Yarrowia lipolytica: one gene and its partner. The protein of the gene in region 1 interacts with the protein of each later gene in a pairwise test. Links are inferred from orthologs where the notes say so. Each region holds a gene or a part of one and is shown on either strand. Other genes may lie near its edges.

Region 1 (12,947 bases):
ACTACAACGTCGCCAACCCCAGTGCAGGTCCCCAGATTAATTTCAAGAGCCTCGTACTTGGCGGACACGAACTCGACTTCAATCTGCCGGTCACACTGGACTCAGGGTCGCTAGCTATTGCCTTTCCAGACACCCAGTTCAGAGCTATAGGAAGCGGGCTTAACCTGACCAACTACAACAAAGATATGGGTCTGTATTATATCGACTGTCAAGCGGAGATCTCCGTGGACTTCAAATTCGACGGACTCACAATCTCAGCCAACTCTTCGTCTTTGGTACTGCCCATGGGATTCTTCTCAGGGGACACCACAGACCCTTCATGTGTACTGGGAGTGCAAAACTCTGCCCTTTATGAATCTCCGAATGATGCTGTTCTCGGAGAACCTTTCCTTAAGAACGCCTACGTCGTCTACGATTTGGAGGACTACAGCATTGGACTAGCTCCTGCTGTCTACACCGACAAGTCTGATGTTCAAGCTGTCTCCCGCACATTGTAAACAGTTTACAACCTCTTTCTTACGTCAATTAAAACAATGCAATTAACACTCCTAACTGTAACTAATATCGAACATCTCCTCGTCAATAACACCAAACAGATCCTGCATCAGCTTGGCTAGAATCTCCAGCTCGGAGGTGATGGTCACACAGACCAGAATGTAGATGTACAGGAGCGCAAAGTCGTTATCTGTGATTTCCGAACCAGCTGCCATGACGTTGTTTTGCTCATACTCTTCAGGTTGACTGCCTCGATAGATATTCAGTTTGACCATCATACGGTCTCGAGAATGCTTGGTGGAGGGCAAATTGTCTGGGAAGGGGAAACCAAGCTTCATGGCAGAGGCCAGCATGTAGAACCGCAGGAAAATTCGATGACTGAGCTCAGTACGTTCAGCCAGCGTGCTTTTGAGCAGAACAGCTTCATGAGGAGTCGTGGTGGGGTCCTTTTCAATGACCAGTCGCAGGTTCTGGAACGCATCAAGGATCTTCTGTGTTGATTTGAGAATGTTGTCGTACGTGTTCTTAGGGAAACGGCCCTTGAGACGAAACTCGTTGGGGGCATGTTTGAGCAGACCGTCCAGCTGGATCAATGTGTTCTGCAACTGGGGCTGCTCAGCAAGCCCAACCAACCTATACCCTCCAGTAGCAGGATCAAATTGGGACGCCAGCGGGTCTTTCCACGTAAGACCCATTCGCAACCAGAGTGAACACAGACCATGCTTGAGATTGACTCGGGCCTTGTTGGGGAGCAATAGAACAGTAACCAGGAACGCCCACATAACTCCAGCACACACAGAAACGAACCGATGGAAAGCAATAGTACCTACCAGAGGCCTTAGACCTCCTTCATCGTCGTCATTGTCGTTGTCTCCAAGGTACAACGAGTACGAATACACAGCTGTAATGTTAAAGGTGAGCAGAACGAATCGGCCAAACGCATTGTTATCCTTCCACGTAACAATGATGCGGAAACAAGGATAAGAAATGGCAGCTCCAATCAATGCCAACATGTATTCGTTCTCTGGGAACAAAACCCAAGACACATAGGCACACATAGCACCCAAAAACGTACCGATAATTCGTTTCCAGGCAGTCCAAGTAGTGCCTCCTACTGACTTGGACATGATGACCACGTAGGAAATCAACCCCCACTCGCCCCTCCATGTATAGAAAATTGGCTGAAGACTGGGCATATAAGCGGGGGTAGCAAACATAGCTGCTCCAATACCTACCCTAATTCCAAATTGGACATCTCGTCTTCTAAAAACACGCAGGCGTTTCCACAGACGGAACGACATAGACGGTTTTTCGAGCTCTCCGTGCTTTGCCTTCTTAGTCAGAGCACTATTGAGATCATCATGCATTCGCCCAGCAAACCCCTCCTCCAGAAGATCAGATTGTCGAGTCATGAACGCCATGGTCTTACGTCCACTGATGATCTTGTTGACTGCACTCCTCTGGGAAGTTTCTGCCTCCTCTGCTGCCGTCGGTTCTCTATGCTTGCCTCCCCACAGCCATCGGTAGCTTCTCTCGTCGTTTTCACGGATGGTGAGGTATCCCTCTATGCTTCCCAGCAACTTTTGCACCTCAGAAGCCATTTCTTCAAGCAGCAGCGAGAAGTTACCACACGAAGCCGCCACCTGCTCCCAATCAGTGATGAACTCGTCATTGTGCCTTCGCTTAAACAGCCCCAAGCCGTAGACTTCAGCCAGAGCCTTCTTTCTGGCTTCACAGAATAGCTCCTCAGCAAGACCAAGTGATCTCTGGTACTGAGCAACATCCGCCTCGGCATCGCATTTGTCGAGCTCCGAACCGTGCAAGATCCGCTTCATGGTCAGAGAAAAAGACTTCATGGGTGGACCCAAGTGGTATAAGAAGACATCAAACAGATTTTCAGGCGTGATTGTAGGCTCATTGGGTTTTGTAGATGCAAAATTCGGGGAAGGAAGAGAACTTCCAGGGGTAGAAAGAGTTCTCTTCAATGAGTGTCGTTTTCTGATGGGGCTGTCCTTAAACAGCTGGGACAGCTTCTTTCGCGTCAATGTAGAATGCTCCGTTTCAACACCTGAAGTAAGAGCGTTAAGATGCTGATGAATACTGTTCATGTGATGAACGAGCTTCTCCAGCTGGTGGTATTCATCTTCTCGGCCTGTCAAGTACAGTTCCAGCTTCGCATGACGAATGTTTCTGAAACAACTCAGCTGGGCACGCAGCTTGGCCTTGAGCTCAATGTACTCGACGCTGTCCACGTCGACAGCCCGCATAAACTGCCTGGTAAGATACAGAAGCATGTCTCCATATATGTCCATGGTGTTTGAAATGGATTGCTTGAGTTCTGTGACTGCAGAAGTTCTCCAGAGCGTTACACAAACCAGAGCAGACACAGTACAACCAGTAATGGCGAGCAAGAAGATCTGGTTCAGCTGTTCCAAAGAAATTCTGCCCTGCTGCACGTTTCCCTCCTTCGTCAGCACACTAACAAGGCACACACACGCCAGTGAAGTGGCAGTGTTGAAAGTCGGCAAGTCCATTTTCTGCTTAACAAAGGCCAGAGTGCCCAGTCCCACGGCGCAGAAGATGACTAGGTCGATAATGTACGCCAATAGGCGCATATGCAAGTCGACCAGAAATGCCGACACTAACATACTCAGAGAACAGACACAAAAGGAGTACAGCAGGGCGATAGATGCAAAAATAAGAGCCTCAACCATACTTCCCATGGTTCTTCCTGGGTGGAAATAAATAACTGAAGTGGCAACCATATGTTTGGAGTCACCGTTACCCAATAGTCTTGAGAGACGGTCGTTGTAGACGAACACGGTTCCTAGAAGGTATCCCACTGAACATTTTAAGACGACCTTTGCTTCTGGATCGATCCATGCTCCAGTGGCGTAATATTTCAGTTTCCCAAACACTCCTGTGGGCTTTGGTTTGTGTCTGTGGCACATTGTGGGGCTGTCAACTGTCGATACAGCGTAGTTGAAGGACCGTTCGGGGTCCGGTTCTGGCGAGTTTGGAGAAGAACTGCTGTTGGGTTCTCCAAATTCGGTGATACTGTTGTAATTTTGGTACGTTGTCTGGAAATTGTTTGCGTTTGCGTTTGCGTTTGCGTTTGCGTCTGCTAATGCCTCCAGTTCTTCAGGCGTTATCTTGATTGTCTGTGGCACCAGTCGCCCTTCCTCGTTGCTGAAAGTCACTTGTCGTCGTACTCGCTGTCCTGTGTTTGGCAGGATCATGGAGGCTTTTCGGAATAGGGGCAGCGTGATGCCGGCCCTCGTGGCCCATCCCACGGGAGACACAGCCAGACTGGAGGCTGCTGTGCTGCCCAAAAGTCGCTGAGATGGAGATGAGGGCATGGATGTTTGCTGCGACGAGTCCTCACCAGTCTCGCTGTACCACGAGTTTCCTCGAATGGCCAGCGGCCTGACGTTAGCCTTGGGGTCGGGCTGGTTCATTATCGGTTCATAGGGATGTGGCCGACGAGCTGAAAAGGGTTGGAGCGTTGGAGAGCGGTGCTTGAACAGTCAGGGACAATATCCGGATGAAAGTTTGGAACAATAACATGGTCGTGCATCACCCATGCAATTCCTCCGCGAAAGGTGAAGGGACCCAGATGGCTCCTAGACCCGAGGGGGGGCAACATCTATTGCGGTCACGTGACAAAAATATATCAACTGTGGATGGCTGATGGAGTTTCTATGTACTCAATATATGGCTTCAAGCCACCATCTATCACGTTCTGCTGCCCATCTCTGTCAGCCGTGTGTGTTATGTTATTATTTCGCCGGAAGCCAAAACATGAGCCAAAATAAAAAGGAATAAGGGCATATAATTTACACACAAGGCGGACGGGGAAGACTGTGCGTGACAATGCGATCCCGTACAACTACTTGTAGTTCGAAAACTCCGTCAACATGTGATCCGATTGCGACAAGCTAGTCAAATGTCCCTTTCACAAGCACTAAACACTTGAATATACTCAATCGACCCTTGAATATACTCAATCGACCCTTGAATATACTCAGTCAACACTTGAATATCCTCATACTGAGTATCGATCCACACTTGAATATACTCAACCAACCCCTGAATCTACAACTGCAGGTGTCTACAGCATGCATCGTCTGAGGTCATTTTGTACAGTATGTGCGTGTACGAATGCCGGTGCAAGAATCGGAACGAGTAGGACAATTGGAAGCACGAAGACGTGGCTTTTGATTGGCCATTCTGGTGGTTTACAGTCTCGGTTCAAGTACTTTCCTTGGGGTATGTACAGTAGCTATTCGTAGAGCCGTTGTGAAGGATGCCAGAAGTGGTTTAGTAACTACTACTGTAGTTATGAACGAGCACTCGTACCAGAAAGGAAAGACAAGACTTTGAAGTGAGCACCAGGAATAATCTCCAGCAGAATAGTTCATCATTTTTTACAAGTAGCCACAATGCTAGTACAGGTACATCACCCGCCTGTCGTATCAGGACAGATGGTACTTCCTGCAACTCCCAATTCCGACCTCGGAGTTCTCCAGGAAACAGATTATGAGCTACTAGACGACATTGGAAGGTTCCTGGGTATGTAACAAACACAATTGGTTTGCTTGAGGACACACAACAAGCATTCTTCATCAGGTGGACCCTTCTGACTCATCTCTACTCAGCCTTTAGACGCTATTGAGATGTACAAGTACAGTATGTACATATGCTAGTTAAGGAGCAGTTCATACACGTATCTGTTGCCCAATCTGGATAAATATTGGACCAATCGAATGGTCTCAACTCATTAGAATCCAGCCATATCTCTGTCTCTTCCATATTGACCTCATGTCTCGTTTTTTTTCCTTCTTTTTTCCTTCTTTTTTGGGGGTTAATTTAGGCTAAATACCGTCTGTAGTGTACTTATACTTATTCTATAAATGGAGATAGACGAGACGCGAATAGAGTCTTTCTGGAAAACCCATTAAGTGATTCCAAGCAAAAAATCCAACAAAACCCGCCGTACCCCTCTCGACATACTATCGTACGCCCGTACGCTCTCCACTGGTGCACTTGCTGCCAACCACTATCAACGTCACGTTACTGAACTCTATCTGGGCTGTGGCAACCCCAGAAACCTACAGTCCACCTTCGCTGTGCCTGTTGCAATAGGGAGCCAAACACTTGACGACCTGATAACGACGGTCGACGGAGCGGCACAGACACAGAACAAGACGACAAGTCACAAAGAGCCCCACTCCAACAACAGCAACAACTACAACTACAACCACACCCCATCAAACCCCATCACACACTCTCACTGCATACGATGGAATGGCAAGATGAAGCGGGGCCTTCGAGTGGTCCTTCTAACGGCATAGCGTCATCGTCCAACGGACCCTCGTCGCACTCAGACACAGACCTGTATCGAAGCGACTACCATGCGCTCGAAAATGACAAGACTTATATCGACTCTGTGGTGAGCGATCCGGCCAAAGACCTGGATGGAACCCAGAACGCCCACATCACATACCTCGTGACGACCAAGTCCAACAACACGCAGTTCTCGAACAAGGAGTTCCGAGTCCGACGCCGGTTTTCGGACTTTGTCTTCCTTTACAACTGCCTGAACAACGAGTTCCAGGCCTGTGTGGTGCCCCCTCTCCCGGACAAGCAGCGTCTCGAGTACATTCGAGGGGACCGGTTTTCGACAGAGTTCACAGTCAAGCGAGCAGCATCTCTGACACGGTTTCTCTCACGCATAGCACATCACCCCCTGCTCAAACGGTCCAAATATTACCACGCCTTTCTGGAGTCTGGCGAATGGAACGCATACAAGAAAAACAACATTGCACGAGGAGGACTGATTGTGGACGGAGGAATTTTGGACGGACTGTCCGACACGCTGGTCAGTGCATTCACTCGACCCCCACAGACGGCCCAGGAGTTCCAGGAGGTCAAGGAACGAATCGACCGCCTGGACGTGTGTGTGTCGCACATTGAAAAGGTACTGGCTCGGTCTGTGCGTCGACAGTCAGATCTGGTCATGGACTACCAGGACCTGTCGCAGCACGTGGGCCAGCTGGAGCATCTGATTCCTTCATTGGAACAAGAGTTTTCCAAGTTTGCTGGAGGCCTGCAGGCGCTGGCCATCAACACAGCCGTGCTCAAGGAGAAACTTGATACCGACTACGTGTCTTCTCTCAAGGATCTCATGCACTATCTTGTGTCGGTCAGAGCTTTGCTCAAACAACGAGACCAGAAGCAGGCAGACTACGAGGGCCTGGTGGAGTACAATGAGCGAGCTGTGGCCGAAAGACAGGCGCTGGTGTCTGGTGGAGGGAACGGTATTCTGCGAAACAAGCTGGAGGACATTCGGGGTATCAACCATGAGTTTTCACGACGGGAACGGCTGCAGAAGCTCGAGGGCCGGATCGAGAGTCTCACGGGCGAGACGAATCTGGCCAAGACCACGTCCGAGGCCTTTGACGAGCAGACCAAGCGCGAGATTAACACTTTCGACAAGATTCGATCCGGCGAGATGAAGGAGACTCTCAAGACTCTGACCTCTGGACAGGTGGATTTCTATGCGGCTTTGGTCAAGGATTGGGAGGCTATTTACGATGCTCTTGGAGAGTGACGGTATTCAAGTGCTTACCTAACGATAATAATGATAATGATAATTCGAAGCCATTGTGCACTGGTTTATTTTGATGATGATGAATAACTCCGATAACCTATCAATTGACGCCACCCAAAGTTGTGCAACTCCACTACTCGTATTTGTATATATTCAAACAAGTCTGTACAAGAAGATTGATAAAGGAAGTTTTAATAAGGTTTCATATCAATTGAACCTCATCATTATGGACCCTTCAAAGCAGTGAGATGGAAAGGTCAATTTTTCATGCGTTTTTGTGTGCTCTTAGAGGATGGCAAGAAGAGTTGATTTTTCGATTTCCAGCTTCGCAGCTGCACTATTGAGTTGTATTTGTCTGAGGTATTATATAGTATGTACACGGAATATACAGTAGATTGATAACATTCACACGATATATGCACTGTCTAGTGAAGCGAGTGAAGCAAGTGTACAGGAACACCTGTCATAGATCATACTGTTCCTTTTGATCTCTTCATTACGGGTGCTCTCCTAATGTCCTTATCGCCAAATACATCTATGCTAATTACTGTACGTACTGCGACACTCTATATAACCTCCTTCCTCATTTCCTCATTTCCACCTATGCTTATGCCTGAAGAGGCAAAGGAGCGTAGAGAACCTGGGTCACGTACTTACGAGAGTACCGGGAGACCGAGGCCACGGCCAGAACGTTATGTTTAATGGACGTGGTGGCCAGATGGTTGAGAATGACGTGATTGGGGATGGGCAGCACCGAGTTGTCTTCCTTTTCGGTGGAGTTTGTGTTGAGAATGACCGAGTCCAGATGGGGAGGCAGTTGGGGAGGCGTGGGCAACTCTTTGGAGATGTACTGCTCCATCACTTCTGTGTCGGTGAACAGAGCCGGGATTTCCGGTGTGAACTCGTACTCCTCCTTGGGCAGATCTTCTTCAGTGAACCGCTCGTAGCCTCCTCCCAGATCGTCGTTACTGGGGATGATGCCTGCTCGAGAAATGGGATGCAGATCCTTCTGGTCGGCCCGTTCCTCGGTGTCCGATAGACCCACCTCCACGTAGTTGAGAAGATTACCCATGGAGTCTGTGGCTGTGGGGAGGTAGTCTGAGCATCGCAGCTCATTGTCAACGACAAATCGCAGTCTGTGGGTTCCAGGAGGAAGATGAAGGGTGGTAGAGAAGACGCCCTTCTTGTTGGGGTCCGGGGTCAGAGCCACCATCTTTCTCCAACCAGTGAAGGTTCCAGTAACGTAGACCTTGGAGCCTCCCTGAGTCCATTTGATTTCGAGGGGGATCTTTCCTTCGGTCACCTGAGGGGAGGTGAGTTCGATCTCTTCGCCGGAGTCCACCCGTGACAGCGGCTTGGGCTCGTTGGATGTGGGATGGGTGATGTTGAGTTTGTCGAAGGGGATATCGTCGTCGTTCTCTCCCACGGGTTCGTCTTCATCCAGCAGCAAAGTTGACTTTCGTCGCATCTTGGGCCGCTGGGGGTGGCTCTTTGCGGGCGCCACGGGGACGGGGACGCTTTCCGGAGCAGGCGACTCTTTGTGGTACGAGGCGGGCTCAAATGGGTTGTTGAAGGGTGTTGCGCTGACATGCGACGAGTTGGCGGACATTTGCTCTGGCGAATGGCTCACATGGTTCTGTGTGTTGTCGGAGCCCTCCTGGGGGATGGGCTGCGGATCGGCGGAGCCCTTGGGGTCGTGATGGCCGTTGTTGTCCGCTGGACGGTGCTGCCGAGCAGCTCCATTGTTGTTGGCCTCCTCCTGGCTCTGTGCGTTTCCCATGGTTGCTTGGGTGGCGGGGTTGGGGGGTGATTCGGGTATTGGTGTTGCGGGGGGCCTGTGGCGGGGCGTCGTTACGGGATCCAGCAGTGGTGTTGCTCGAAGAGTACGCTTGGAGAGAGAGAGGACTAGACAGCGTTTCGCACCCGTAGATATTTTGGATTTGCCCAAAAGTTTAATCTACACGTAACGGCAACGGTCAGATAACGAACATGGTGCGTCCTTCAACAAGTGGACGGCGGGGCAAGCGACGGGCCAGAGCCGCCATTCTTTTTGCGTTCCCCGGCGCATGTTTTTTGCGGTGGTTATAGGGCTGGTTACGGGCGCCGTTTGCGCTGCCGACCGGGTCCGGGATCCGGTGTCTACATCCGCGCCAGCCATTCACACATGTCAAAAATAAACAGTGTGTGTCAGGACGCAGTGGGGCACACGCTGGAAAATAAAGGTGAGCTGCAACAGTCAGGCTAGGAATAATTATTTGAGCGATTTTCGAGTGGTTTTCTCGCCTATCGGCCCCAACGCAGGGCCTTCCCCACCCGGGCGGTGGGTGGTCACGTCCACAGGTCCACCGGGCTGCTCTAGCGGGTATACTTTTGCGTTCCACGTGACCTTCCGTTGCCTTGCTGCACACATGCGGCGTTTTTCCGAGGCCTAGCAAGGAGAAGATTGAGCGGTTTAGTCGGGACATTGGAAGTTAGTTGGAGTTAGTTGGCGCTCTTGGTTGAAAGTATCAAAAGTGGCCAGATGATGCAGAAAACAACAGACAAAACAACAGAAAAAAACAACAGAAACCCCGGACTGGGTGGTGTATTATGTATTAACAGAGCATGCGTTCCTCAATGGGCATTCGTACCAGTTTCAGGTTTCATATGGGTTCAAGCAACAATGTTTTGAGCCTGAAAAGCATAACCGCTCTCTGCCGTCCCGCTCAACATCCGCTCTCGAACAGACACCAATTTAGGAGGACGGAAGAAGAAATTTGAAAGGATCAAAGTGTCAGGAATTGACGAGTTTTCATTGATGCTCCCGAACCGATTGGAGGACGGAATGACCACGGTTGACCCAACTTCCGAGCAAATCTGAACATTCATACAAGCGCCAATCTAGAGAGAGACCCACACAACATTCATGTCTCATATGGACTCGGCCAACAAGCAACGTTAGCAACTCCACCCCATAACATCGTCCGCGAGGATGGAGTAAACGACACACGTCATTCATGTGCTTGTCAGACGTATGTTTGAGAAAAATGTTGGGTTGGAATGGAATGAGACTTTGGTCACGTGACGTTATCAATCGGCGGGTAGGGTAGGTTTGCAACTCCTGGGCTGATTGTTTTTGGGTGGTGTGAACTTGTAGTAGTATGTACTATAGTAAGTCGGGATGCTTCAGGCTGTCTACCTTGTAACCAACACCACTGCACTCGAACTCGCACTCGCACTCCGATGTGAGCTATTTACACTTGCGACGTAGACGACGGACGCCCAAGACGATCGCGGTGCCTGAAACAGCTGAAATGAGCGATTGGCAACTCTGAGGAGGGCTCTTTAGACTCTGGGGCTCGGCCGTGTGCCATGGAGTCTAACCGCAAGAGTGAGGCAGCATGTTGAGAGAAAGACAAGCAGACGAAGACATGTAGAGTGTACCACTTGTAGGGACTCGAGCCGAGATGCAGCGCTTTAGGGTGCTTTATCGACACGAAAAGCGCGACAGGTGAAACAGAAGGTGTCGGCCATCTTGCAGTAGCCCGATGAAGAGACTCTCACTTAGGCACCCCCTATCCGCCTCGATGCAAGATAACCGGACGCAAATGTTGATTTCATGCACACCTGGTATGGTGACGCCTGCGTTAAACCCAAGGGTAAGGCTGTTAGGAGTCGTGCAAAGGCGTCGGTTCTGGCTCCGTTGACGAGGCAGTCTGTCTCTGCAGCTCTATCACACATATATATGTGCATGGAGCGTCTATATCATGTAGTAGTAGCGGCACTGGGTGCATTTATATCAGGTCGCCTTGCGGATGTTCTTTTTTGGCTTGGCTACCTTTTTTTAAAACAATTATTTAATTTTTACTTTTTTGAATTTTTTTTTTTTCTTTTTCATTGTGCTTGTCCCAACCGACACTTTTTTACATTTACCCTACCCGCATCTCAGCAACACTCCAGCGACACTCTACTGCTATACAAGTGCGTGTGCGAGAGCGTTAAAGAGGGCAAAAGAGAGTTGAGAGAGCTTCTGCAGCACCCAAAAACCATTGCAGCAACACAAAGCTTTGCGAGCGTCTTCATCACCACTACCCCCACCTCTCGATACGACAGCTTGCAACCTCCCCCAAGGCGGTAGTGTCTCTGTTCGCCACACAGCCAAAGTCACATCGACACAAAGACCCCTGCAGCTGCTTCAGTAGCACATTTTCGAAACTACTTCCCACCACACTTACCAACATCATGTCCAACACTCTGGTCAAAAAGGGCCAGGGCCAGGCGGCATCCAACGCCAAAAAAATCGGCTACAACAAAAAGAAGGGCGGCGGCCAGACCAAGGGCCGGCCTGCGTTTGTGTTCAAGCTGTGGAACATGGTCAACGACCCTGCCTACGACGAGTACATCCGGTGGATGCCTGACGGCAAGTCGTTCCAGATCACGGGCCGAGAGCAGCTGGAGAAAATTGTGCTGCCGCGGTTCTTCAAACATAACAACTTCTCGTCGTTTGTGCGGCAGCTCAACATGTACGGGTGGCACAAGGTCCAGGACGTGACCAGTGGCAGCATGCAATCCAACGACGAGGTGTGGCAGTTCAAGAGCCCCAACTTCATCCGCGGCCGCGAAGACCTGCTCGACAACATTGTGCGAAACAAGGGAACCAAGGGCAGCGACGAGGAGGAGGAAATGGACATGACCACACTGATGGACGAGCTGCAGCAGATCAAGCTCAACCAGCTTAACCTGACCCAGGAGGTCAACAAGCTCCGCACAGACAACCAGCTCCTGTGGCAAGAGAACCTGGGCTTCAAGGACAAGCACAAGCAGCATGGCGAGACGCTGGAGCGAATTATGCGCTTCCTGGCCTCTCTGTACGGCAACCAGGGCAAGGTGCTTGGAGAAGCCATCTCTGGCAACAGAAACCAGCGTCTGCTTCTGGGCAACACTGATCCCGCCCAGGCTACACATATGATCAATGAGGGGGCCGGCTCCCAGCTGCTGCTGCCGCAGAGAACAGCGGCAACTTCCCCTTTGAGATGAACGACATGTTCAACAACAACAACAACAACAACAGCAATAACCCCAACGACAGCCCCTCGTTTGCACGAGTCCAGCCGCTGTCCTCTACCAACTCACCGCAGACGGTAACAGGATCTCCCCGGGAAGAAAACAACAAAACAAACAACACAAACAACACAAGCAACAATTACGACAAGATTACGGCATACGACACCGACACGGGATCGGAGCTTCCCGACAACCTGCAGGACCTCACTGACCTGTCGGACTTCACGCCCTCCATGCTGGACCCCCAGACTGTGCAGCAGTCCATGGAGCCTCCCATGGGTTTCGGAGACCTCAACAAGAATTCCTCGTTGATACTCTCTAACAACTCCAACAACTCCATCAACATGCCCCAGACGCCAATGCGAAACAACTCCACTAGCTCCCATAGCTCGCAGAACATGTCGCACCACAACTACAACTACCAGCCCAGTACGCCCGGCGCGTTATTCCCTGAGCTAGAGGCGTTCCAGGGCGCCAACGACCAGCTGATCCGGTCGGCCGAGCGTCCCCGAAACAACCTCAACATCAACGGCAACGGCAAGGCCGACGATCTGCAGCGACAGCTTCAGGATCATGGCCGTCACATTGACCAGTTCACTGACCGGCTCAAGAAGCAGCAGGGATACCAGCCGCAGCAGTTGCAGCACCAGCAACAACCGCAGCAGCCTCAGCAGCAGCCCACCCCGATGCAGGCACCTGCTCCCACGCCGGCATCCACAATCAGCTCTGCACCTACCCCTGATCCTACTTCTGACCTGTTCAACGTGGGCGACCCCAACATTGTGCCCATGCAGGA
Region 2 (12,175 bases), on another chromosome or scaffold:
TTTTGGTCATAATAATAGAGAAACACCTCCTGTTGACACGTGCTGGTTTCTGGCAATCCGTTGAAGACGAAATCGAACCGCCCAAAGTCCTGGAGGTAACACTGAGTACATAGGTTGTCGTTCACGTACTCATCGTACTCCTCTAGTGTCATCTTTGTGATAGCTCCTTCCAGTAGATTTCGTTTCGCTTTCATAGTGGTCATGTGGGAGAGGTGTTGGCAAGAAGAAGAGAAGTGCTGTCGGGATCTCGAGATCTCGTTCAGCCCCAATTGTCTGGCAAGCTGGATCGGGCGTCTTCTTGTAGTTTCTATCAGCCTCAATATGACGTCGCACCTGAAAAGTCGACACACAGCCCCAAAAGGAAGTGGATTCATGAAAAGTGAACGTATGGAAATTGGACTTTAGAATTTCCAGATGTTTGCTTTATTTGCTACAGATAGTAACACAGAAAAAGTGGTGCTATACGAGAGGGTATAGCTACTGTGTGCTTACTGTCTCCCACTCTACCCAACAGCTCGGGTACAGCCCCCAGCAAGACTTTCGCACATGGACGCACTTGTCAACAGATATCAACATAATGCTCTACTTTACTTTCTCGATGTTCTGTTCCCTGCACTTCTCGATCCAACTCAACTAACCGCCAAATGACAACCATCTTCAACATCACCTCAAGTCTCTGAGCCAGCCCTCCAATACCAGATCAAGACATGAGGATACTATGAGTTCAGTCCTTGGAATGTGGCCATTGATATAACCGCCTCGGCGTCTTCAAAGGTATGGAGCCCATTCATGTAGAAGGTAAGAACCACTTCAAAATCTACACCAATTCGGGAAGATGATGGTAGCTATTGTCTTCTCGACTACCTCGCACCTGATGGTAGTTCCACTCATACCAGGTTTAGCACTCAATTGGTAGGGGCAAGGGAGTCTCCACCAAAATGACTGACAGGTGTTGATGAACATTGGTCAAACGTCAGATATACCAATCGAATGTGTTTCAGACAGGACCATGGCAACAAGGTCTCCCTGACGGGTTGCTTCCATGAATCACAATCTCATCAGTCAACTTTCAGCAATGGTAGTGTTACCAAGAAGCCCGTTACTATCGATACTGAGGACATCCCGAGCAGAGTCCGGGTTACAGCTATAGCTACAGTACACAACCCAACTCCTTCAGGGATCGAGCAATGTAGACGCAGCCAGAATAAAAAAGAGGGAGCTATAGTGATGTTCCAACTGTAGAAGATTACAGCGCCCTCGTTTCCCTACAAATACTTATCCCTGCAATACTTACTGGGCTCTCTGAAGCTTGACTGTGGGCGATCAGACGGGAAGTCCTAACACGACGGTCCCCTCGATAAGTGGAAGGATCAGCAGGTGAAAAGTGAAAAGACAGATTGCAATTGGTGTCTCTTTGAACAGCTTCCATAGCCGTCTGGTAGGTGGAGCACCTACCTCGACAGTGGTCGCGGCACGCTGACTGGCAATTGACGGTCTTTAGAGATAAAAACCGAGACGTGATCATTTATTAGTGCTATTAACGCATATAGACACCACCGTCGGCATCTCTTTGATACTTCTTTGGGCTCCATTCCACCGTTCTCCCTTGGTTTAGATACATGTCTGAATATTTTATTTACAGTTTAATATACAACCGAATACGATAAACCTTAAATTTGACTTTTGATTGTTTTTTATTCAAAATATTTTATAACATTAGTATTTTTTACCCCATCAAAAACGTACAAAATACGTGGGCTACACAATAGTTGAATGTGTTAGTAAGTCCGTTCATGATTGGTTTTAGTTTTGAAAATAAACAACAGGTGGCAAATACACCTTAGTTGAGATCTGGATTGTGGTGCGAAAATGCGGTATTGTAACTGTAGAATGGTGTTGAGTAGTGGTAGCAGGTACATTGTCTAGCTGTAGGAATAACCACGGCCTCTATTGGCACACCTGGTCATCAACATCAGAGAACCAATATCTGAACCTCTATCAACTCCGCCACAGCAGATTTGGTATCACCTGGCAACTTTGATAAGACATGTGTGGCGTGAGTGCCGTGTGAACCTTCAACTCGAGTCTATCGGATCATCGTCGAAGATGATAAATAGAGGGACGTGTCCTGCGGGTCTGGGGAAGGATTGCAAGTCGTCGTACATTCGAAAACCATATTCTTCACCAACTGGCACACTTGCGAAATGCTCATTGGCGTCCAGATCAGGTGGAAGAGCAAACCGGGCGATTCGTTTGGACTCACGGGTTTCACTGAGTGCGGAAATCTGCTGGGGAAGATCCCGCACTTTTCCTTCCACAACGCCAGGCTGATGGTGCCCCACGAGTCTGAAAAACGGCTCGGAAAAGGGTTCAGAAACGCCCCCGCGTTCATCAGATACTGCAGCGATGGACGGGTTTATTCTAACGCACACGTCGAGCACCTGGAGCTCAACATTGTCCCCAGGCCGAAACCCCTCTGTCGATGTCGCAACTGTCTCAGTGAGTTCAAATACAGCAACAATGTCAGTCACAAGAGCTCGCATGAAAGGTCTCCTCTTCTGAACGAAGACTCAGGTATCATTTCGTTTAACTCGCCCTCTTCCGAGCTCGAATGTCCCGTTTTGCGAAATCCACCGACCCCCGTCAAGCTGGAAGGGATCAGCGACTACTCAAACATCACCAGTGTTACGCTCATGTCCAACGGCAGGGTCGAAATCGCCGTCAAGAAGGGCATATTCGAGGCTCGTGGAAGATGGCTGTATCTTCGAGCCGGCAAAACCAATTACTGCCAGGACGGGAGAGTGTGTGCAGTGGACAGGAGCCACCGGGAGTTTCACGTCATTCGCAACCGGGAGGAATGGAGACATTTTTGATCTTCCGGGTGTTGCAACCACCGACCGAACTTCAGCCTGCGGCGACAATGCAACCGTATTGATCTAAGCCGCATGGACTGTTGGTTATCTCCCTGTCACCTGAGTAGAAGCTGCGGAAGCGACAGAAACACGTTAAGCCAGCATTTGACACTGTGAAACTGTTGTTGGCAGAAGGTGACTGTTGGCCGACAGCATAGCCGAGCGACAGGCCAACGAGATGAAGCAGTTTGACCAAGTCCAGTTCAGTTCAATTTTTTTCAGGTCATTACCATTGTCTAATTCGTTGGACATCTAATGATATGATATACAACAATGTAACTGGGTCGTGGAACCTAGGATCTCCAATTTGAAAATGTACTGTACTTGTATATCTGTCGACATTTTCGGTAATTGAAAGAGGACATGCCATGAGAGAGCGATTATCAGAGCAGATTAACCATAGCTGAAGTACAACAGACTTCAGTTGAACCGTACTCTCGTGCTCTTGCTTGTACTCAGCTCAGTGATAGCACAGTTTGTAGTATGAGTGCCATAAATGGTGACTATTGAGCTTGAATTGGGATCTCGACAAAAGGAGTAGAGACCCGCCCTTCACCTTTTTGTTCTTAGAATATGCAGACCCAATTGCAGAAATAGTGGAGAGCTGTGCTGCACCAGTAGTATGAGTAGGAGACCCATGGTTGTGAACTAGGTGGTGAAACCAGGTGGTGAATCAAAGCCTCACAGGGGGTTGACAACCGTGTGATAGGTGATCGTAACTGTTAGATTCTGAGAGAGTCCTATTACGGCTTTTGAAACGCTTTACTCTTATGATCGGTCATCTGGTTGTAATGATGAGAGGATGAGTTGGACAGCTTCGAAAGATAGCCTGAAGAAACAAGGAGCAGTCATACAACTCGGGCGGAATGGTGGAATATGGTGAAATACGTGCATTGATTCGGTTTTTTGAAGAAAAAAATCACAAATCACAGTGTCTTCCCCTTCACAATCCCAGTTCGTCATTTCCACAGTTCGCTTGACCAAAGAAAACGCCATGACGAACTGGGTATGTTCTCCATGAAGGCATTGCAATATCTGAGATAGTTTTCAATTAGATCTCGTAGTCATTCTATTTGTAACGTCGGTTTTTGGTCGGTTTTTCATTTCATTTATTTTATTTCATTCTAGTTTTAACCTGGATTCTTTTTTTCATTCTAAATTCGTTTGATTGTGTAATCACAACATAGATATTAACAATTCAGAGCGATTTTTACGTCACAAATTGGCATCCTGGCCGAGCGGTTAAGGCGAGAGATTAGAAATCTCTTGGGGTTTCCCCGCGTAGGTTCGAATCCTGCGGATGTCGCCATTTTTTGCTTCTATTTTTTGCTTCTAGTTTCCATCTTTTGTTTTATGTCGTCTAAAATCTATATCACTCTAACGTGGTCTGACTCGTGGAATGACTCGTCGAGTAGTCGTTTACCACCCTCTTCTTTTCGCCCTCGGACTCATCCACCAGCTCAATCGACTCGCACGACGACTCGCCCACTCCATCGACCACATCGACGGTGGTTTTGGGACCCGTGTACCATCTGTGAGCAAACAGAAAGTAGTATGTCAGACAGCCTCCCCAGACGCCGGCCAGAATGACGCATGTGTAGTTCATGGACAGCTTGTCTGGGTGGGCTGTGGTGCCGGGGAACTGCAGCAGGATGATTGCAAAGAACAGATAGGTGGACGCGAAGGTTCCAATAGCAATGGAGAGTCGTTTGCCTAGATAGAACGGGCCCGGAGTCAGCTTGTTTTGTCCAAACACCAGCTTCAGAGTCAGTGGGATGAACCACGCCAGATAGTTGCCTCCAGCCGACAGGGAGAAGATGGCGGCGGCAGCAGTAGCATCGATCATACAGATGGAGCCCAGAGCCAGAGCCAAAAGGGCGTTTCCCCAGACGCATCTAATGGGATTTGAGTATTTGGTGTTGACCACCTTGAGGAATGTGGAGAAGGGCAGAGCTCCATCTCTCGAAAAGGCCCAGGACTGTCGCGACGCTCCAATCACGTTCGAAAGGCCCATGGTCCACTGTAGACAGAAAAAAATGCACATAATTCCAATCGTCCAGTTTTTTCCCAAACAGTCGTAAACCAGCTGGGCCATCGGCTGTTGAAACTTGGTGTTCAAGAGCGGGGCAATATCATGGGGCATGACGGCTGCAAACACAATGTTGAGACAGAAGCCCAGGACCCAGCAGGCACCGATTGACGAGATGATTCCGAACGGAACAGCTCTGGTGGCGTCTGCGGCCTCCTCGGCCATGTGCACGCACGAATCGAACGCTCCAATCGTCCAGATGGGTGACAGCCATGTCAGAAAAAACACCCAGCCGTCGGGCCAGCCGTCGGTCAGGTTGTCAATGTGGGAGAACATGTACTCTCCAGTGTTCAGTCTGTTTCTGGCGCCGATTGGCAGAGCAATCATGACCACCAGAATCACGGCAAAGTTAATGAAAATGCACATGGTCTGGAACTTGGCCATATGGTGTGTTCCCAGAGAGCCCACGCACCCGTGAGACACCACACAGGCGGCAAAGATGCCATAGACGGTGTATTTGGACGGGTTCCAGCGTCCATCTGTTGCCACAATGATCACACTGGTGAAGATCTGTGCAAATCCATAGTCAATGGACATGACTCCTCCAGTCAGGCCCAGGGTGTTGGAGTAGCCAACCAGAAACGACAACGGGCGCTTCAGCTTGTCGGGCGCAAAATAAAAGGTCCACCAGTACAGACCGCCCGAAGTAGGTAGTGCCGATCCCAGCTCGGACATGGTGAGCCCCACACTCATGACGCAAAACGCACACACAAACCAACCCCACACCATTCCGTAGGGCCCTGCTGGGAGTGTGTAGGAGAGAGTTGTGGCGATGGAGGGAAGCAAGCCCATGATGGAGAAGGCGATTCCAAACATTTGCAGCTTGGAAAAGTTGCGCTTCAGTTCGGGCTTGTATCCAATGTCGGCCAGGACCTGGTTGTCCAGGGTGTCGGGGGGTTTAGCCTCTGGGTCGTTCATGGTGGGTTTGGAGCAGCGGAAAAGGAGATGGTGAGGGGAGCGATGGCGATAAGGACAGGAGGGAAAAGCGACGACACTATGCCGACGACTGGTGAGTGATTTACTCGTCGAAATTTCCGATTCCACTTATATACAGTCGCTCAAACACTAACACTAAAGGCCCATGTTAGCTTTGGGGGGGGGGGGGGGGGCATGGTCGGGGCGTGTAGTGGGTTCAAAAAGGGCAGGAAGGGAGTGGGCGTTGGAGGGTATTGTGGTCGAGAAAACCTCGTCTGAGGGGCATTGCCAAGCCTGCCAAGACTCGAACAAGCAAACTTAGCCGCTTATCGCGCGTTATCGGGTCTTGGCCCGGGCTGGGACACACGTCTGGTGGTTGCGTGGTTGCGTGCGTCGCTATCTAGATAAGACAGGCTTCTGTTTCAAACTGTTTTTCAGAAAGACAAGTTTGGACGGCGCGAAGCTTGATTGGATTCGCCAATGGTAGCGGGGGGAGGTCATGGCGACTTGACGACCGTTGAGACTGAATCCGGGCGATATTATAGGCAGTTGAAATCGTAAAAAGTTGCAACAAACGCCCACCGGTCGAAGTCGCACCGATTCCGCGACTTTTGCGTCGTGTAGACGATGCGAGATGGCACGGCAGAAAGCACGGGAGCCGCAGTCAAGCCACACGTGTCGAATACATACATATATGAACGAGCGGACGAACCCGACATTCCTGATTGGATTAGGTTGGACAGAAAGAGAGACCGGCAAGTGAAATGAAATGAGATGGAACGGAATGGAGAAAGCTACCAGTACGAATAGTTATTCCGGGATTTGCCAGACATGGCGTATTAGTGTTGGTTGGGGAGACGTAATCGGTATGGGAGAGAAGTATGGGAGAAAAGTAATCGAGTTTTCTCGGCTCTTCGACGAGTCCGGCCAAAAAACAGTAAATACAAGCACTGATGTTGTCATATCATCTCTGTGGTAGCAAGATCCTTGTCCTTATTCTCCATATTCGCAACCTCTTGCATCACCAACAGTAATGTACAATACTGACAGTTAGTCCTCCTTCATTCACCAGACACCAACTTTCTTGTGCACTGATGACGTCACGAGAGCCAGAACCAAAGAATGGGAAAAAGAGAGAGATGAGTGGATCTGGGGAGGCGATTTGGTCCCTAAGACCTCATGACCTCTACGGAATTGAGATGATCTGCGGACGAGCAAGTTCCAACGTTCATTTTAGGGATGTTCTGGGCACTGAGAGATATGTTCCAGGCGTCCTTTGCAACGATTTTTTGGGCCTGGACATTTACCGGAGCATTTCCTCTTTTATAATCTCCTCAGGTCAGACAATGGTGTCAAATACTCTCCGCGGAGTAGTGTTATGCTGGAAAGAGTGACTCTAGATAGTGATACTCGCCAAGAGGGACAATAATGTAGTGTACTTGTACTAATAGTACCTTTTTCTGATGTAAACATTAGATGTTGCAACTCCTCAAAATCTCCTGGATCCCTCTAGTCTGGCTCTGTTGTTGTTACGTATTCCACTACAATTTGTTATAATTATAGTTGGTAATTACTTAAGATTGACTCCGTGAGCCGGTTGTCCGTCTTCGGAGACACCCAAGAGAATATGAGTATATCAGGAGATCGAAAAAGGTAACATTCCCGTCAAAATACATATCGTGGACATTTTTACAGTCATAAAATGCTCAGAGTGAGTCGAATTGGGTGAATAATTGTCATTTATGTGCCAAGACGGTTCTTTGAAGTTTTCAGATATGAGCACGAGAAGACGGTGCCTGCAATTGTACAACAGAAAAACACAGAATATTTTCACCATAGAATCATGGGCTTCTCAAAAAGCCCCGATCAGTGGATCAATTCCGCCACCTGGTTGTCATTATATTACACACCAGTACACATACGTACTGTACTGTACATACTGTACGTACCCAGTAACTCCCCAACAATTAAGTAAATAACCAGCTAAAGGTTTCCTTTTTCCAACAATAACGCCTTTCTCTACTTACCTTACTGCACTGTGCTGTTTTGTTCTCACCAATTTTTTTATTTTTCCAGATTTTAGTTCTATGAATTTTTTTATATTTTCTTTTTTTTATTTTTATTTTTTATTTTTCTTCCAAAACTCTACCCAGCCACGCGTGGCGCACTCAGACGGACCCTGTTGTCCAATTGACGGGCCAAAAACAAGCGGATTTTCTGTAAACAAAAACGAACGAAAAAAGGGCCCAAAATAGCTCGCTCCCCAACTCGTATCAACGCGCTCCGCTCGGTCTAAAAATACCTCCGGGCCAAAATAACCAAACACATGGGTCAAGGTTCTCACCATCTACCCTAACCGCGACCCCACCAACCATGTGTTTGAACCGCACCACCAGGTATACGATTTGCCGCTAGCTACACCAACAACAATGTCGTCCTCCATGCCGTACGACCCGTACGCCGGCGAGAGCCATGCGCAGACGCACCATACGGGCAACCACAAAACGGCCGCCATCCAGGCGCAAATCGACGATACCGTGGGCATCATGCGAGAGAACATCAACAAGGTGGCGGAGAGAGGAGAACGACTGGACTCGCTGCAAGATAAGACAGACAACCTGGCGGTGTCGGCCCAGGGCTTCCGACGAGGCGCCAACCGGGTGCGAAAGGCCATGTGGCTCAAGGACTTCAAGATGAAGGTCTGTCTGGTCATTGGAGTCATCATTCTGATTGTGGTGATTGTGGTTCCGATCGCGGTCCACTTTTCCGGACGATAGATAGACGTGGCGACACGACATGGGAGAGACGCACCTTTAGAGCAGACGTCCGCGCGTCGGGACTTATTAACGACTATATGAGAATAAATGCTAACTGTGTATGATAGATGGCATTTTCGTAGATCAGCTGGAACCGTCAATTGCTACAGTGCAAGGGCTAACAAGCGTTAGTCAGGGTTAACACTCGGTCGACTAACACTCGGTCGACTAACATTCGGTCTACTAGCACCCAGTCAAACAAACGCTCATTCGACCAACGCTCAACTAACACTCGGACGATCAGGGCGAGCGGTAGGTTCTACACAACAAGTACCACGGCATGATTGCATCAGGTGTCGTTCAATAGAATATCCAGACTGCCGAGAGGCTTCAGTAATGGATTCATTGAGATCGCGACTCCAGAGACAGATGTGCAGTGGAAGCACTGAGCTGCGGGTCAACACTCAACTCCATCGATCGATACGTGTGAGACAGAGTCGGATAGAAGACCGTAGCCGGGTTCAGATAAGTTGCTCTTGAGTTTATCACTATCGGCATTGTCGTAAGTAGATTGATCGCTTGAGAGCAAGTAGAACATCATTCTACTTAACTGTCGCCGAGGAATCTACTTTCCGTGCACCGACGAGATTTCCACCTTCTGTAGGAGTCACTTCCAAGCCAGTTTTTTCTCAAATACACCTTTCTGAATGCAATACTAGTACAGTACCGTAAGAATCGCTATCACCAGTTCGAACCCAAGATACAGTCCACATGTACAGATCTGCAGTTTGTGACGTCTGACTGCATATATCAAGTACTGATGGCATGTGGCTGAGCGATACGAGCTTGTGCGTAAAAGCACCTTAACAGCGATTTCAAAACCAGGCAGCGATGGTGGAGTGGTTATGATACTGACCCCCACAGACCCCCGTCTTTTATCTTATCAATCAGAAACCTTAATATATATAATTTTTCAAAAAAATATCAAGTGAATTTATATCAAATATGTCAGTGACTCGCAAATGGATTGGCGACTTACTACTGATCGGAGAGACCTTGTTCCCGTTTGTGGTGATAAATCCACAAGAGCAGGGGGATTTTTTCTGGCCAGATGATGACCTGATGTTGACCTGATGTGGGCTCAGTCCTACTCCTCCAAAGAGTCCTGTGGTGTTGTGAAGTCGGAACAAGCCCTATCCAGTCATGTGCAACCTATCCAGTCAAGTGGAGGTCGTTAATCTATGTACAAGTTTCCCTTGTGACTTACTGGGAAGACGTCCGATAACCACTCTGCAGTCTCTGAGACCACTTGTGGGATGACACTTTGTCCTGAACACTGCATCAAGTTGACCATCGTAAAGTCTTCGAACTTGTCTGGTGCTCGGAAGGACGCTCGATCTTACTTTTCTCTCCTTATCCGTGTTCAACAGGGTGGGTTTATCAGCGCGGTCAGGATTCACCCGGCATACAGACCTCAGAGACTTCGTGGTAGTCTGGCACACAGAGCCACAGGGACTTTGTTATCGTCCTGAACAGATATTGACTCCTTGTCAGGATGCTCGTCTTCATCATTAACGGCACTTCTTGGTGTATTCAGGCTCCTTATAGTCATTATCGGGATTGAGCTTCATTCGCTCCTTGGGAGACAGGTTCTCGTAGTCTTCATTTTGGTCAAACGTGCAACAGGCCAGTCTGTTCAGCGGGTGTCCAATATCTAGGTGGTGTTGGCTCGGAGATAGAGATAGTGATACACTCACCATTCTTCAGCTTCTGACAGTATACTGGTCTACTTGTTTCGTCAAGTTTCACGGCTCATTCCTCGCACAACAATCACATCAATTACAACTAATCTCATCACCTACAGCAAATACACGAAGGCCCCGTGACTCGTCTTCAGCTTAAGCACCACCACCAGGGCGGCGGTGAATACAACGCCGGCAATCATAAACGCCATATTGACCCAGGCGGCTTTCACAAACAGAGGAGCGGCGGTGGCGACCCATGTTCGCAGAACAATGACTCCATACCAGTTAGTGATGAAGGTGAAAACGGCAAAGCTCATGAGTCTTCTGTTTCTTCCTTGGACGTTGCTCCCCAGCCAGCAGGCGAGAGTAGGCATGGCAGCGACCATGTTGGGGATAATGAACCACGCTCCTCCATATTTGATCCAAAAGTTCTTGTGGCTGGGCGTGCACAGAACGAGAGCCCATCCAATGATAGCAAACAGGTAGTTCGCCAGCAGGAACGGGTAGTTGGTCTTGTACTTAGTGGAGAACCAGTTTTGAACTAGACAGTAGAAGCAACTCCACACCAGAATGGGCCAAACGATGCATTGACCTAGAGCTGGTGAGTATTTGAGCACGTGCAGAGTCACGGTCATGAGCTCTCCATAGCACGAAAAGATACCATTGTAAGTAAAGAGACCCATGGCACCGGTGAGCCAGACAATGGGGTCTTTGAGAGCCATTCCAAGGCCCTGAATGACTGTCTCGATGGGCTCGATCGGGTTTCCTCCAGCATAGTGTTTTTCGGTGATTTTCTTGAACAGCTGGTATCCGTCTTCACCATGTTTTCTGATCCATCTGGGGTGGTAGAAGTAGTCTGGCAGCAATCTCCACACCAGAGGAGCCTGAAGACAGCCACAGATTCCGGTGATGAAAAACATCCACGCCCAACCGGGCTTTCCGTCTGTAATCAGACCAAGTGCAATGGCGATGAGGGCAAACAGCGGTACCATGAACCAAGATACTGCCCAGGAGCAGGCAATGACAAACTGTCCCTCGAATCTTCCATGAGACTCGTATGTAACCTGAAGAATTACAGGTAGCGCAACACTCATGACGGCCCCCATAATCACTCTGTCCGCTGTAAGACCTCCGTAATTGACACAGATGCCCAACAGTGTGCAACAGAGACCCCAGATGAACATTTGGACTCCAGCAAACACGCGCGGGTTCGATTTAGCAAACAGCAAAGCCATAGGAATTACAAAGACAGCGTAGGTGAAGTATAGTGCTGCCTGCGACCATTCATATTCAGAGGGGGTGAGTTTCAGAAAAGGCTCAATTCCTCCCGTGACAGTCACTCCAATCACGTCCCTTGAAACAATATGAGAAGCAAGAAAAACTTGGAATTGGCAACCAACGGCTATACTTCTGTGTAATTTCAGATGGCCCTCTTTCTTCTTTGAAATGGAGACGTCTGACACTTGTCCAGAAGTGACGCTGTGTTGGACATAAAGATCGTCTGTCTTGGTCTCTTCCAGATGCTCAACTGACGGCTTGTCATCTTCCAGGTGTTCAATGGAGTGTTTGGTGTCCTCGAGATGTTCAATTGAGGTCTTTGGGAAGGTTGATTCGTTCATTTTTACTGCTCTACACACACCCCCAACATGGCTATATAGGAAACCAGTACAAGGCGAGTACAAGGAGCTCAGCAAACTCAGAAGACTCAGCAGAAGTCCACATTAAGTTGGATTGTGGGGAATGATATGGTACTGTGGG

Evidence for each region.
Region 2: the proteins of YALI1_E16919g (region 1) and YALI1_A03487g interact in a two-hybrid assay, tested with the Saccharomyces cerevisiae proteins (2 studies listed by BioGRID). The link is inferred for Yarrowia lipolytica from reciprocal best matches to the Saccharomyces cerevisiae genes SNX4 and SNC1.

The regions. Positions count from the first base shown.
Region 1 is NC_090774.1:1,686,096-1,699,042, forward strand, and holds YALI1_E16919g (uncharacterized protein), read left to right. Parts: upstream 1-5,797; coding exon 5,798-7,108; downstream 7,109-12,947. Other genes in the region: YALI1_E16854g (uncharacterized protein), read left to right, coding at 1-497; YALI1_E16900g (uncharacterized protein), read right to left, coding at 549-3,953; YALI1_E16950g (uncharacterized protein), read right to left, coding at 7,716-8,888; YALI1_E16956g (uncharacterized protein), read right to left, coding at 9,085-9,573; YALI1_E16968g (uncharacterized protein), read left to right, coding at 10,707-11,225; YALI1_E16974g (uncharacterized protein), read left to right, coding at 11,330-12,124; YALI1_E16982g (uncharacterized protein), read left to right, coding at 12,121-12,947. UniProt on the Saccharomyces cerevisiae protein: Sorting nexin, involved in the separation or division of vacuoles throughout the entire life cycle of the cells.
Region 2 is NC_090770.1:344,946-357,120, reverse strand, and holds YALI1_A03487g (uncharacterized protein), read left to right. Parts: upstream 1-8,345; coding exon 8,346-8,693; downstream 8,694-12,175. Other genes in the region: YALI1_A03567g (uncharacterized protein), read right to left, coding at 1-374; YALI1_A03549g (uncharacterized protein), read left to right, coding at 2,205-2,873; YALI1_A03512g (uncharacterized protein), read right to left, coding at 4,285-5,919; YALI1_A03507g (uncharacterized protein), read right to left, coding at 6,134-6,316, 6,361-6,417; YALI1_A03450g (uncharacterized protein), read right to left, coding at 10,531-12,036. UniProt on the Saccharomyces cerevisiae protein: SNC1 and SNC2 are vesicle-targeting proteins essential for normal secretory traffic between the Golgi and the plasma membrane. They may also be involved in vesicle fusion.